Callithrix jacchus: one gene and its partners. The protein of the gene in region 1 interacts with the protein of each later gene in a biochemical or structural test. Links are inferred from orthologs where the notes say so. Each region holds a gene or a part of one and is shown on either strand. Other genes may lie near its edges.

Evidence for each region.
Region 2: the proteins of NHERF1 (region 1) and PDGFRB form a complex in vitro, tested with the Homo sapiens proteins (2 studies listed by BioGRID and IntAct, with this or other methods). The link is inferred for Callithrix jacchus from reciprocal best matches to the Homo sapiens genes NHERF1 and PDGFRB.
Region 3: the proteins of NHERF1 (region 1) and ABCC2 form a complex in vitro, tested with the Homo sapiens proteins (2 studies listed by BioGRID). The link is inferred for Callithrix jacchus from reciprocal best matches to the Homo sapiens genes NHERF1 and ABCC2.

The regions. Positions count from the first base shown.
Region 1 is NC_133506.1:130,683,482-130,687,774, forward strand, and holds the start of NHERF1 (Na(+)/H(+) exchange regulatory cofactor NHE-RF1), read left to right. Parts: upstream 1-1,421; 5' UTR 1,422-1,635; coding exon 1,636-2,076; intron 2,077-4,293. UniProt on the Homo sapiens protein: Scaffold protein that connects plasma membrane proteins with members of the ezrin/moesin/radixin family and thereby helps to link them to the actin cytoskeleton and to regulate their surface expression. Necessary for recycling of internalized ADRB2.
Region 2 is NC_133503.1:48,845,499-48,849,142, reverse strand, and holds part of PDGFRB (platelet-derived growth factor receptor beta), read left to right. Parts: coding exon 1-179; intron 180-632; coding exon 633-899; intron 900-1,640; coding exon 1,641-1,768; intron 1,769-1,886; coding exon 1,887-2,061; intron 2,062-2,630; coding exon 2,631-2,823; intron 2,824-3,470; coding exon 3,471-3,586; intron 3,587-3,644. UniProt on the Homo sapiens protein: Tyrosine-protein kinase that acts as a cell-surface receptor for homodimeric PDGFB and PDGFD and for heterodimers formed by PDGFA and PDGFB, and plays an essential role in the regulation of embryonic development, cell proliferation, survival, differentiation, chemotaxis and migration.
Region 3 is NC_133513.1:92,776,518-92,780,161, forward strand, and holds part of ABCC2 (ATP-binding cassette sub-family C member 2), read left to right. Parts: intron 1-742; coding exon 743-869; intron 870-2,517; coding exon 2,518-2,619; intron 2,620-3,045; coding exon 3,046-3,189; intron 3,190-3,644. UniProt on the Homo sapiens protein: ATP-dependent transporter of the ATP-binding cassette (ABC) family that binds and hydrolyzes ATP to enable active transport of various substrates including many drugs, toxicants and endogenous compound across cell membranes.

The sequences.
Region 1 (4,293 bases):
CAATCACTTAGAGAGCTCTGGGCCTCTTGCATTTGAGTTTTTCAGAATTAAATTGCAGTATTTTGGAAAGCACATCCTGTCCACTGTTTCTTTGAAGTGTGTGTGGGAGGGGTGTCCTGTTGACGGAATTGTCATTCACTGCCAAAATCATTCCATCCTCCTCTCAGTGTCTCTCCTGAGGGTCAGTTCCCCCCTTAACAGACTCCCTACCTCTGTGACCAGCCTCTCTTTGGCAAGAGGGAGCTAAAGGCTTATCTTACAGTCCTAATCATTTTTCTTTCTCTGTTGGAAAAAAAAAAAAAAAAACCAAGGCTCTGTTCCCTGTGGAGTGTACCCAGAGGCTGATTATCTGAGTCTGTTCTGCCTCTCCCCATCCCACCTCCCTAGCCAAACGCTGACACCAAAGCCCATGCCATTGCCCTAGGTGTCCTGTCTTCAGTGAGTTGCCCCTCGAGGTCCCAGGCTCTCCACCGAGCCCGCACCTCTGCACCTTCCCAAGCAGGAATCAGAACCTGCACTCCTCTATGCGAGGAGTGCCAAGTGTCAGGCAGCGCTGCCTGACAGTGCAAAGTGGGTTAGCGTTAGGGTTCCCACAAACGGAAAAATGTTATTCAAACAACTCTATAGGGTCCGAGGAGGCTCTCAGTCTTAATTCTCAAGACTGCCTGGCCCTCGCTGCCCCGCGGGAGCCGTTGCCCCGGCAACAGCCGGTCCCCCTTAAGCAGAGCTGCACCCATGCTTTGGCTAAAGGCTGTTAAAACGTTGGCCAGTGCAGTGGTTCACACCGGTAATCCCAGCACTTTGGGAGGCCGAGGTGGGTGGATCACCTGAGGTGAGGAGTTTGAAACCAGCCTGGCCAACACGGCGAAACCCCGTCTCTACTAAATCTACAAAAAAATAGCCGGGCGTGGTGGCGGGCGCCTGTAATCCCAGCTACTCGGGAGGCTGAGGCAGGAGAATCGCTTGAATCCAGGAGGCGGAGGCTGCAGTGAGCCGAGATCGCGCCACTGCACTCCAGCCTGGAGACAGAGCAAGACTCCGTCTCAAAATAAATAAATAAATAAGAAAAAAAGAGTCCCTTTACCAGAGGGCCTCTCCTCACTCTCCGCCACAGGCAGGGGAAACCAGGCCGGAGCCGGTGGGCCCCACCACCCAGAACCGAGAACTGAGCGGGCCCCGCCCCTGCCACCCCAGCGCCGGCAGCTCGGCAACAAACACTTCCACTTCCTGAGCGCTCTGTCTTCGCCCGCCACTGGGCTCCGCGCCGAGGACAGGCCCCGCCCCACGCGTTTCCATTGGCCGGCGCCGTTCACCCGGCAGCAGCGCCCCGGCCCGCGGCCTCCGATTGGCTCGCGGAGTCCCACACCCTCTGCGTGGCCCCGCCCCCGGGGTAAGGAGCCTGGGCGGGCTCTGGAAAGCTCAGACGCCGAGCGAGGCGGGGATTGGTCCGCGCTCCTTTCTTTACTCCTCAAGGCTCGCGGCGGCCGGCGGTTCCCGGGACACCTGCTCGCTTCGCCGGTCCCGCGGCGCTGGGCTTCCCTGCTGCGTTCCCGGTTCTCTGGGCGGGAAGAAGGATTGAGCCGTCCCGTCTCCAACGGAACCCCGAGTGGCGCAGCTGAGTCGTCGCAGGGCGAGATGAGCGCGGACGCGGCGGCCGGGGCGCCCCTGCCCCGGCTCTGCTGCCTGGAAAAGGGTCCGAACGGCTACGGCTTCCACCTGCACGGCGAGAAGGGCAAGGTGGGCCAGTACATCCGGCTGGTGGAGCCCGGCTCGCCGGCGGAGAAGGCAGGGCTGCTGGCCGGGGACCGGCTGGTGGAGGTGAACGGCGAGAACGTGGAGAAGGAGACCCACCAGCAGGTGGTGAGCCGCATCCGCGCCGCGCTCAACGCCGTGCGCCTGCTGGTGGTCGACCCCGAGACGGACGAGCAGCTGCAGAAGCTCGGCGTCCAGGTCCGCGAGGAGCTGCTGCGCACCCAGGAAGCGCCGGGCAAGGCCGAGTCGCCAGCCGCCGCCGAGGCGCAGGGGGCTGGCAACGAAAATGAGCCTAGCGAGGCCGACAAGAGCCACCCGGAGCAGGTAAGCCGGGCCGGGGCGGCGCCGGCTGGAATGAGGTGGGAGGGGGATCGGGAGGGACCCAGGCGCCACGGCCGTCCAGCCCCGCGCCCGCCGTTGTCTTTCTGAAAACTCTAACTGCGAGGGGGAGACGGCTTCCGCCCGCCGACCAGGCTCCCTGGTAGATCCTAGGCAGGCCTGGGGCTGCGTCCCGCGACCTCTCTCCTTCCCTGGCTGTGCTGGGAGCCTGAGCGCCTTTGCCACCTGCACCTCTTGTTCCCTGGCCCTTGAGAGGGCAGCGCAGGGGAACCCAGTCCCCCTTCCCTCAGGTCTGTGTCTGCTCGTAATCCACCAATCCTGCCCCTCCCTGGCGCCCTCTCATCGTTCACCCCAGTCCGCAGATGGGCTCGGGAGGAAGGACTCTCCGCCCCAGAGGTGCCAGCTTCATCCACCACCCCTACTTCAAAAGCTAGAGGAATAGCCCTTCCTCCTCCTGTGCGGAGCCCCGGCGCGAGGTGGCCCTCCCTCAGCCCGCCGGTGTGTGCAATCAGCTTCAGCCCTGCTGGACTTCATCCTCCCGGAGTGCGGTGTAACTTCCAAGGGAGAGAAAGCCCCGCCATCTCAGGGCGGTGTGGGGGTGCTTGGCGGGAGGAGGAGTCAAGGCATCTCTGAGTGGTGGTTCTGCCACCCAGGAGGATTTACGACTCAGGAATGTGAGGAGTAAGCGCCTGTATCAGGGAGGGGAGGGGGAAGACCTTGGAAGGAGGGGAAGATGGCTGGGGGGAGGGGAGAGAGCTCTTGAGGCAAGTGGCGAGCCGGTGGTCTTGCCCTGGCCTTGCCACGCTCACTCGTGCCCACAGAGCCAGCAGGCCGGTTGCTTTTTGCCCATGTTTGGTGTTTGCCCATGGGATCCTGGTTTGGATCAGCTGCAGGAGGGGCAGCTGGCAAAACAGGAGTTGTGCTGAGTCTCCTGTCCCCAGAGAGTGGAGTGAGGAAGCTTCGGGTGCACACTGCGAAGGGCAGGGCCTGAGCCTCCCAGGGCCCCTTCAGCTTGCACCAGCTCTCCCTGGTGGCAGTGTGTGGTGGGAGTGTCCGTGGGGCCAGGAGGATCCTCCGTGGACAGAGAGACCACACAGTTCAGCATTAAGGTGGAAGGCAAAGCCCTAGGTAGGGGATCAACTGGTTAGGTGGAAGTGAGGTCACCAGAGACCTGTCCGGCCAGAGCTGGGTGCTGGGAATGCCAGGGCCACCAGGCTCCCACTTCCTGCCCCTGCCAAGCTGGCATTGGCAAGGGGTGGGGGAAGGGATCGGAGCACCCAGAGCAAGGGGTTGACACCAGAGGTTGGGGCCAATGATCTTTAATCCCAGGCAGAAATCCAGTGTGAACTTTGTGCTGAGTCCATCGATCGATTTGACCCTTTTTTTTTTTTTTTTTTGGACTTTGGCACTCACGGATACCCCCACCCTACTGCAAGTTGCAGTCTCATTCAGCTCCTCCCTTTGCCCTTTTGGTTACGCTGCTGGGTGCCAGAGGGCCTGGGAGGCTCCTGTGGAGGCTTGGCGTAGCACACACACTCAAAAGCCGTGGCTTTGAGCTTCCTGGGTGAGCACAGAATTTGATTCTTGCAGGTTTTAGAGGGACACCTACATTTGTGTGTACTTCCTTAGACCAGGAGATGAGAGGAGAGCCACCAGCAAACCCTGGGGACACTATCACCAGCCAAGTCCCAGGATTTCTGAGCTCTGGTTCTCCCGTCTGTGAGGTGGAGGCATTGGATGATGTTATGCCTGCCTTCTCTAGAACTTTAGAAATGATGTGAAGTACTCAAGCCCCTTACTCAATACTGAGCTGCACTGCGTCATGCCCAGGCGTTTGAATCCCAGCTGCTTCAAACTGACTCACAGTCAGCACCACTGAGTCCCTCTAGCAGAAAATCCCACACCGTTCTGTGTGAAGCTTGCGGATGGCCCATGCGGTTATTGCAAGAAATGTTAACAAACATTGTAAGAGCTATTTTTTCTAAAACGCATCCCTTTCCTATATAAAGCATCAAATTGAGGTTTGCCAGTTTGTTTTCATTTGAATTTGTGTGCAAGGTGGGGCTGTTCCCTTATCTTGATCAGCTCTTAAGTGAGTATCTCAGTGGAAAAGTGTGGCACAGAGAGTGGTTGGCTGGGTGGCCTCTTGGGAAGACCAGCTGTGTCCAGAACCACTCAGGACAGAGGCTGAGGAGTGCCTGT
Region 2 (3,644 bases), on another chromosome or scaffold:
GGAACGGATGTCCCAGGAGCCCCCGCAGGAAATGGCCAAGGCCCAGGACGGCAGCTTCTTCAGTGTGCTGACACTGAGCAACCTCACTGGGCTAGACACGGGAGAATACTTCTGCACCTACAATGACTCCCATGGCCTGGAGCTCGATGAGCGGAAACGGCTCTACATCTTTGTGCCAGGTAAGCGCCCCCAGCCTGTGTACCCACTCCTTACCCCTCTTTTCAACTGAAGACATCAGGGGAAGTCCAGAGAGTGCTTTAGTTTGTTGTGAAATACAGCCATCTCCCTGCCAGTCACCCCATTCCTGCCTCCCAAGAACTCTATATTCTCAGCTGCTTCCAATCTGCTCCCTCTTGGCCCCCACATCCCATCTTCTCCATTCTCCAAGCCCTAGATATCAGCCGCACTTCAACTTGTGACTTGTCTCCTTTCTTACCCTGGCACTGTCAATATCCAACATTAGAGCTGGAAGGGACCAGCTCTACCATTTGATTTATGCTCCTCTGGGAGCATCCCTATTCTGTCATGGGGAGACAGAGGGCTAGAGAGGGCAAACGATTTGCCACATAGCAATTCAGGGGATGGCCAGAAACTCGGTTCCCCTGACTCATTCATGGCTCCACTCCCGGCAGATCCCACTGTGGTCTTCCTCCCTAATGATGCCGAGGAACTATTCATCTTTCTCACGGAAATAACTGAGACCACAATTCCGTGCCGAGTGACAGACCCGCAGCTGGTGGTGACACTGCATGAGAAAAAAGGGGACGTTGCACTGCCTGTCCTCTACGATCACCAACGAGGCTTTTCTGGTATCTTCGAGGACAGAAGCTACATCTGCAAAACCACCATTGGGGACAGGGAGGTGGATTCCGACGCCTACTATGTCTACAGACTCCAGGGTGAGCTCCCTTTCTGGCCCGATGCTCAGCAGAGGCAAGTATAACCCTCCACAGAGGAATAGCCCTTTACAGTTTGCAAAGTGTGTGGCTCCATTTCTCATAGGATTCTCACCACAGCCTTGGAAGGGAGATAGTGTTTTCCCCATGTTACAGGTGAGGAAACTCAGGTGCAGAGAGGGTGGAGTTTGCCCCCTGTTGCAGAATACGATAATGGCAGAGCTGGCCTATATAAAATGGTCGGTGAGGTCGCAAGCTTCAGAGCCAGCTGGGTTGAAATCCCAGCTTTACCATTTTCCGTCCTAGTGACTTTACACAAAGCACATAATCTCTCTGAGCCTGCTTCCCCTCTTGTAACGTAAAGATAACAATGACTGCTTACCTCATAGGATCATTGTGAAGTTTAAATAAAATAAAAGCTGGAAAGCACCTGGCACTTGGTATGTGCTCAATACATGTCTCCTGTATGTAGATCTCCAGAGGGTACTTTGATTTCCAGACTATTACCCCTTCTAGAATATCAGCTCCATGAGAACAGAAATTTGGTCCATTTTGTTCACTACTGTAGCCCCAGTATCTAGAACAGTACTTGACATGTAGTGGGTATTCAGTAAATACTTGTCGAATGAATGAATCTTCTACATCAGTCATCCTTTCCCTCTCTAGCCCCCTACCCTATCCCCAAGGTGAAGTGCTAGTGGCTGGTAGTGACTTCCCAGCCCTAAGCCAATCTCTCTCCACCAGTGTCATCCATCAACGTCTCTGTGAACGCTGTGCAGACTGTGGTCCGCCAGGGCGAGAACATCACCCTCATGTGCATCGTGATTGGGAATGAGGTGGTCAACTTTGAGTGGACGTACCCCCGCCAAGAGGTAATGTGGGGCCAGGCAGGATCGGAGGAGGGGCCAGGAAGGGGTGGATGTCTGGCTTGCAGACTGACTCCTCACCGGCCCCTCTTGATTGGGGGGCCTGCCTAACCTGTTCCTGCAGAGCGGGCGGCTGGTGGAGCCGGTGACCGACTTCCTCTTGGATATGCCTTACCACATCCGCTCCATCCTGCACATCCCCAGTGCCGAGTTGGACGACTCGGGGACCTACATCTGCAATGTGACAGAGAGTGTGAATGACCATCAGGATGAAAAGGCCATCAACGTCACTGTGGTTGGTGCGTGCCTTGGGCTCAGCCCAACCCCCAGTCTGAGCTGGACCCAGAGCCTGTCACAGCTCTGGGGGTATAGTCAGCCACACTCCAGTGCGGCCCTAGCTAGCCTCTGTGCCAACCAAAACCCCAAATCCAGGATAAACCCAAACCAAAATGCAGTGTCAGCCCCAAATCCAACCCTATCTCAACCTAGACTTTCTGACTAGCCAGAGCCCCAGCCCCAACCTGATTTCCAAGCCCAGCTGCTGTCCCAGATTCAGGAAGCCCCATCCGCAAATTCAGCCTCGTCACTAGCCCCAGGCTCAGCCACAATGCTGATCCAGAACAGAGAACTATTGGTACAACTCTGGTCCCACCCCAGGAGCCGGCCCCAACATCAACATCAGCCCCAAATTCGGCCCCTTCTCTAGGCCCTGTCCCCATCCCGATTTCAACCTCAGCTCCAGAAACTCCATGGCTGGCTGGCCAGCAAGGTCCCTAGGCCTGAAGCCCTGTCCCCCAGGCTGGCCTCCTTTGGGATTCAGTTGGTGTCCTGCCCCCAGGACCCTGCCCCTGACAGTCGCTCCTTGCAGAGAGTGGCTACGTGCGTCTCCTGGGAGAGCTGGGTGCTCTACAGTTTGCCGAGCTGCACCGAAGCCGGACGCTGCAGGTAGTGTTCGAGGCCTACCCGCCACCCACTGTCCTGTGGTTCAAAGACAACCGCACCCTGGGTGACTCCAGCGCTGGCGAGATCGCCCTGTCCACCCGCAACGTGTCGGAGACCCGGTGAGTAGCCTGCTCTCCCACCCCATTCTTGAAGTTATGTTTCTTTGCAGCCACTAGGCAGCCCTCGGCATGTGGCCACAAACCTAGGCCCAGCTTTCTGAGAGTATATTAGGTGCCAGGCATGGGGGATGCTGCTGCGACCGGAGCTGACTCCCTCCTAGAGTTTCTGGTCTAGTGGAGGAAACAGGCGCCAGTCAGATGATCACCCAGATGTTTAGTTGTCCTTGTGATGGGTGGGGCGAGCCGTAGCAGCCAAGAAGTAAACGGCCAGATGACTGGGGAAGAGGGTGCCAGGCAGGCCACTCATGGCCTGTGGTATCCCTGAGGCTAGAGACTTGCTGGCTGACAGAGACTGAGACAGGTTAGGATGGGGCACTGCCTGGCCTTTCTGAAGGGGAGAGAAACAGGACTTTTCCTTCAACGCCGCCCACCCCCACCCACAGCCCATCTCAACCCTCCCTCTTGGCTAGGGGAACTGCCTATGGGCAAGGATTTAGGATACTGGCTTTGAGTCCTGGCTCTGCTACCAATGTCTAGGTGATCTTGGCAAGCCCTTTCCCTCCCTGGGCCTTGTTGCTGTTTATGCCAGGAGAGTGAGGAGGACCGTAGAGTTCTTCCAGCTCACAGCTGCCTGTCCTGCTCCCCAGGTACGTGTCAGAGCTGACCCTCGTTCGCGTGAAGGTGGCAGAGGCTGGTCACTACACCATGCGGGCCTTCCATGAGGATGCTGAGGTCCAGCTCTCCTTCCAGCTGCAGATCAATGGTGATGAGCACGTCCCTCCCCATGTCCCTCCTCCTTCCCCTCCATGCCTCCATTCCCT
Region 3 (3,644 bases), on another chromosome or scaffold:
GTCACTTGGAGCTTTCATTCAAAATGCAGATTCTTGGCCAGGAGTAGTGGCTCACACCTGTAATCCCAGCACTTTGGGAGACTGAGGCAAGCAGGTCATGTGAACCCAGGAGTTCAAGACCAGCCTGGGCAACATGATGAAATCCTGGCTCTCCAAAACACACAGACACACACACACACACACAAATTAGCTGGGTGCGGTGGCATGCACCTATAGTTCCAGCTTCTTGGGAGGTTGAGGTGGGAGGATGGCTTGAGCCGGGAGGTCAAGGCTGCAGTGAATCATAATCATCCCACTGCAGTCTCACCTTAGTGACAGAGCAAGACCCTGTCTCATAAAACAAAAACAAAAACAAAATGCAGATTCTTGAATCCCATCCTAGGCCCCTTGAATCAGAAAAGGGTCCAGGAATTTTCCACGTGAATTTTTAACATTGTATTTTAACAGTTGCCCTTGCTCTAGGTGATTCTTATGATTTGGCGAGTTTGGGAGACATTGCACAATAGAATTCCCTTAATTTAGGAAACTCCTCTAGGATCTTTAAAATGCAATTTGTTTTCTTAAAAAAAAAATCAATAGGCTTTTAGGAATACATGGTGTTTCTAAGACAAATTGAGGCTTCACCTAAGAGTGCAGCCTGATTGAGTCAAACCCTCTGAGAATGTTCTATGAACACCAAGGATGCTGGTTAAGATGAGGAAGTGATTAGTGACACCCACTCTCTGGTTCTGTTGCCCCACAGGTGGCTTGCAATTCGCCTGGAGCTGGTTGGGAACCTGATTGTCTTCTTTTCGGCCTTGATGATGGTTATTTATAGAGATACACTAAATGGGGACACTGTTGGCTTTGTTCTGTCCAATGCACTCAATGTGAGTTTGAAGGTTGGGAGTTTGGTTATGTTAGTGGGCTTATTTTTAAATTAAGCCTGAAGTATACTCTGGAGTCTGTGCTCTTGATTCCCTCTTAACCCCAGAAGGACTAACGGAGACCAACCCTGGCTCCATCTTTCACCCATGGACATGCTCCTTACTCTTCCTAAATAGACATGAGTGCCCTCTAGAAAACTGGACATAAATGTTGACCTTAGGACTTAAGAAGGCAATTTCATGTGTTTCGATCTAATTGTTCCCTGTCTGCCTCTTTGCTTGGTTCTAGTTAAAAGAGAGAATAAATGACTTTCTTCTCTAGAATGTAGCAGTAATCAGAAAGCCTTTTAGAACAAAAAACTCCTCCTGTGTTTATTTTTCTTAGATCACAGAATAATTGGAGGTAATTTTAATAAAGAACATAGAGTCTGATAAACTACAGAATGAGTCTCACTGCAGCAGCCCCAGCGTGACTAGGGGAGACATGGCAGGCACAGTTCTTTTCCAGCACCTAAGACAGTGGCTGGCACTACAGTCACTATTCAATCAATATTTGTTCAATAAATGAGTCATTTGACCATCTTTTTGAACTAATTTTTGGAGATTTGCATAGTTATATGTGGGCTTTATAGAATAGTGCTGTTTTCATTAGAAGTTTATAAGGCTGGTGGGGCGCGGTGGCTCACACCTGTAAACCCAGCACTTTGAGAGGCCAAGGCGGGCGGATCAACTGAAGTCAGGAGTTTGAGACTAGCCTGGACAATATGGTAAAACCCAGTCCCTACTAAAAATACAAAAGATTAGCCAGGTGTGGTGGCAGGCACCTGTAATCCCTGAGGCAGGAGAATCACTTGAACCCAGGAGGCAGAGGTTGCAGTGAGCCAAGGTCATGCCATTGCACTCCAGCCTGGGCCACAGAGCAAGATTCCATCTCAAAAAAAAAGAAGAAGTTAATAAGGTTTAATTCCTGCCAGGGCACCTAAAAGGACTTTGTTAGTCACTAGAGTCATTTCATTCCTTGTGCCACTGCCCTTTCATCCCCCCATTTCTCGGCTTTTTAGCCCAGGACAGACAGGCAAATAAGAATCTATTAGATTGAACCAAAACAAAATGACTCAACCAGCAACTACATATGCTTCAATCTACACAAAGTGGTTATTCTGGGTCCCCATGATTCTATCCTCTGCTGTCTATGGCTCCCTTTCTCTAACCACCATTTTCTCAACAAAAACTCCCTGTGCATACATGCAAACTCCTGAGTCTTTTCCTGAGAGAAGCTTGCATCTGAGTAATCTACAGATTCCCTGGCCGGGATCATGTCTTTCCTTGATTCACAAAGAGCACTAGGCATACAGGCAGGAGGCCTGAGCACCCGTTGCCAGACTCTCCAATTCCAGCTTTAGACCCAAACCACTAGACACTCACATTGCCCTTTGTGTGAGTACCTAATTGTTCTGCAGCCATTCAATGCCCTGCTCTTGATTCCTTCCCCAAGGAGGCAAGGATTGTCTTTCTTACACTTTTCCTTACTCCCTTGTAGAGCCCAGCACAGTGCTGGGTACAAAGTAGGCACTGGATCGTCCTTGTGGTTTGAGTAGTGGAGTTGGTTTCCGTGTCTAAGATGATTTTCAGTCTTCTGGTTTTTCTGTAGATCACACAAACCCTGAACTGGCTAGTGAGGATGACATCAGAAATAGAGACCAACATTGTGGCTGTTGAGCGAATAACTGAGTACACAAAAGTGGAAAATGAGGTAAGGAGGAATTAGAAAAATCCAGGGACAAGGCAAAAAAAAAACCATGCAACTCCTTCAAGAGTGCATCTTTAGAATGTCTCCATATTTCATATGGGCTAGTAATGGGTCCCCTAAAGTTTCCTTTCCTGTAACTCAAAAGACCTTATTTCTTCAAACTTAGAATAGGAAATGGTTTAGGGGAAGTCAGGTCTTAGAACATACTGAGGAGATCTACAACACAAGCTCATGTGATAATTTTTCTTTAACTGAGTAAGGAAGGAATCTTCCAAAGGTACAAGTGCAGTTCAGTCTATGAAATGCAGAGGCCATTAGGTAGCTGGGTCACTGCTACCCTTTTCCTGTTCTGTGACGTGGGGCCTAAGAGAACCGTTCAGCTGAGTTGCCACCTTATAAAGCATACTTCTCACCTTGTCTCCTTGCCAGGCACCCTGGGTGACTGATAAGAGGCCTCCACCAGATTGGCCCAGCAAAGGCAACATCCAGTTTAGCAACTACCAAGTGCGGTACCGACCTGAGCTGGATCTGGTCCTCAAAGGGATCACTTGTGACATCAGTAGCATGGAGAAGGTAGGTAGAGTGGAGGAAGGCCTGGATGGGTGGCCTTGTGATCAGACAATAATTGTATGCAGAGTGGAGAGCAGCTGGGCCCTGAGCCTTCATCATTTGGATGGAGGGAGAGGGTGAGGGCACTTCCTCTGCCCTGGGGAAGTATGGGGACACAGTACCAGAGGGAAGGTTAGCAGTCAGGGATCACACAGACTTACTGCAGCTGCCAGGTCTTCTGCTCAGCTCCTCCTGGCCAGCTGACCAGGGCCCCTTTCCTGTAAGGTCCACAGTATGCAGAGAGGAAGTCAGGAAGGCAACAAGGGAGTGCCAGGCCTGGCAAATGAACTGTTGAGAATAGCAGGGTGAAGGGTTGTCCCTGAAAGAAGAATGGCCTAGTTCTCCTAGGCACCTTCAAAGTCAGGCACCCTCCTTAGGCGCTCTTGTTCTCTGAGGACTTGGGGTCTGATGAGCAAGAC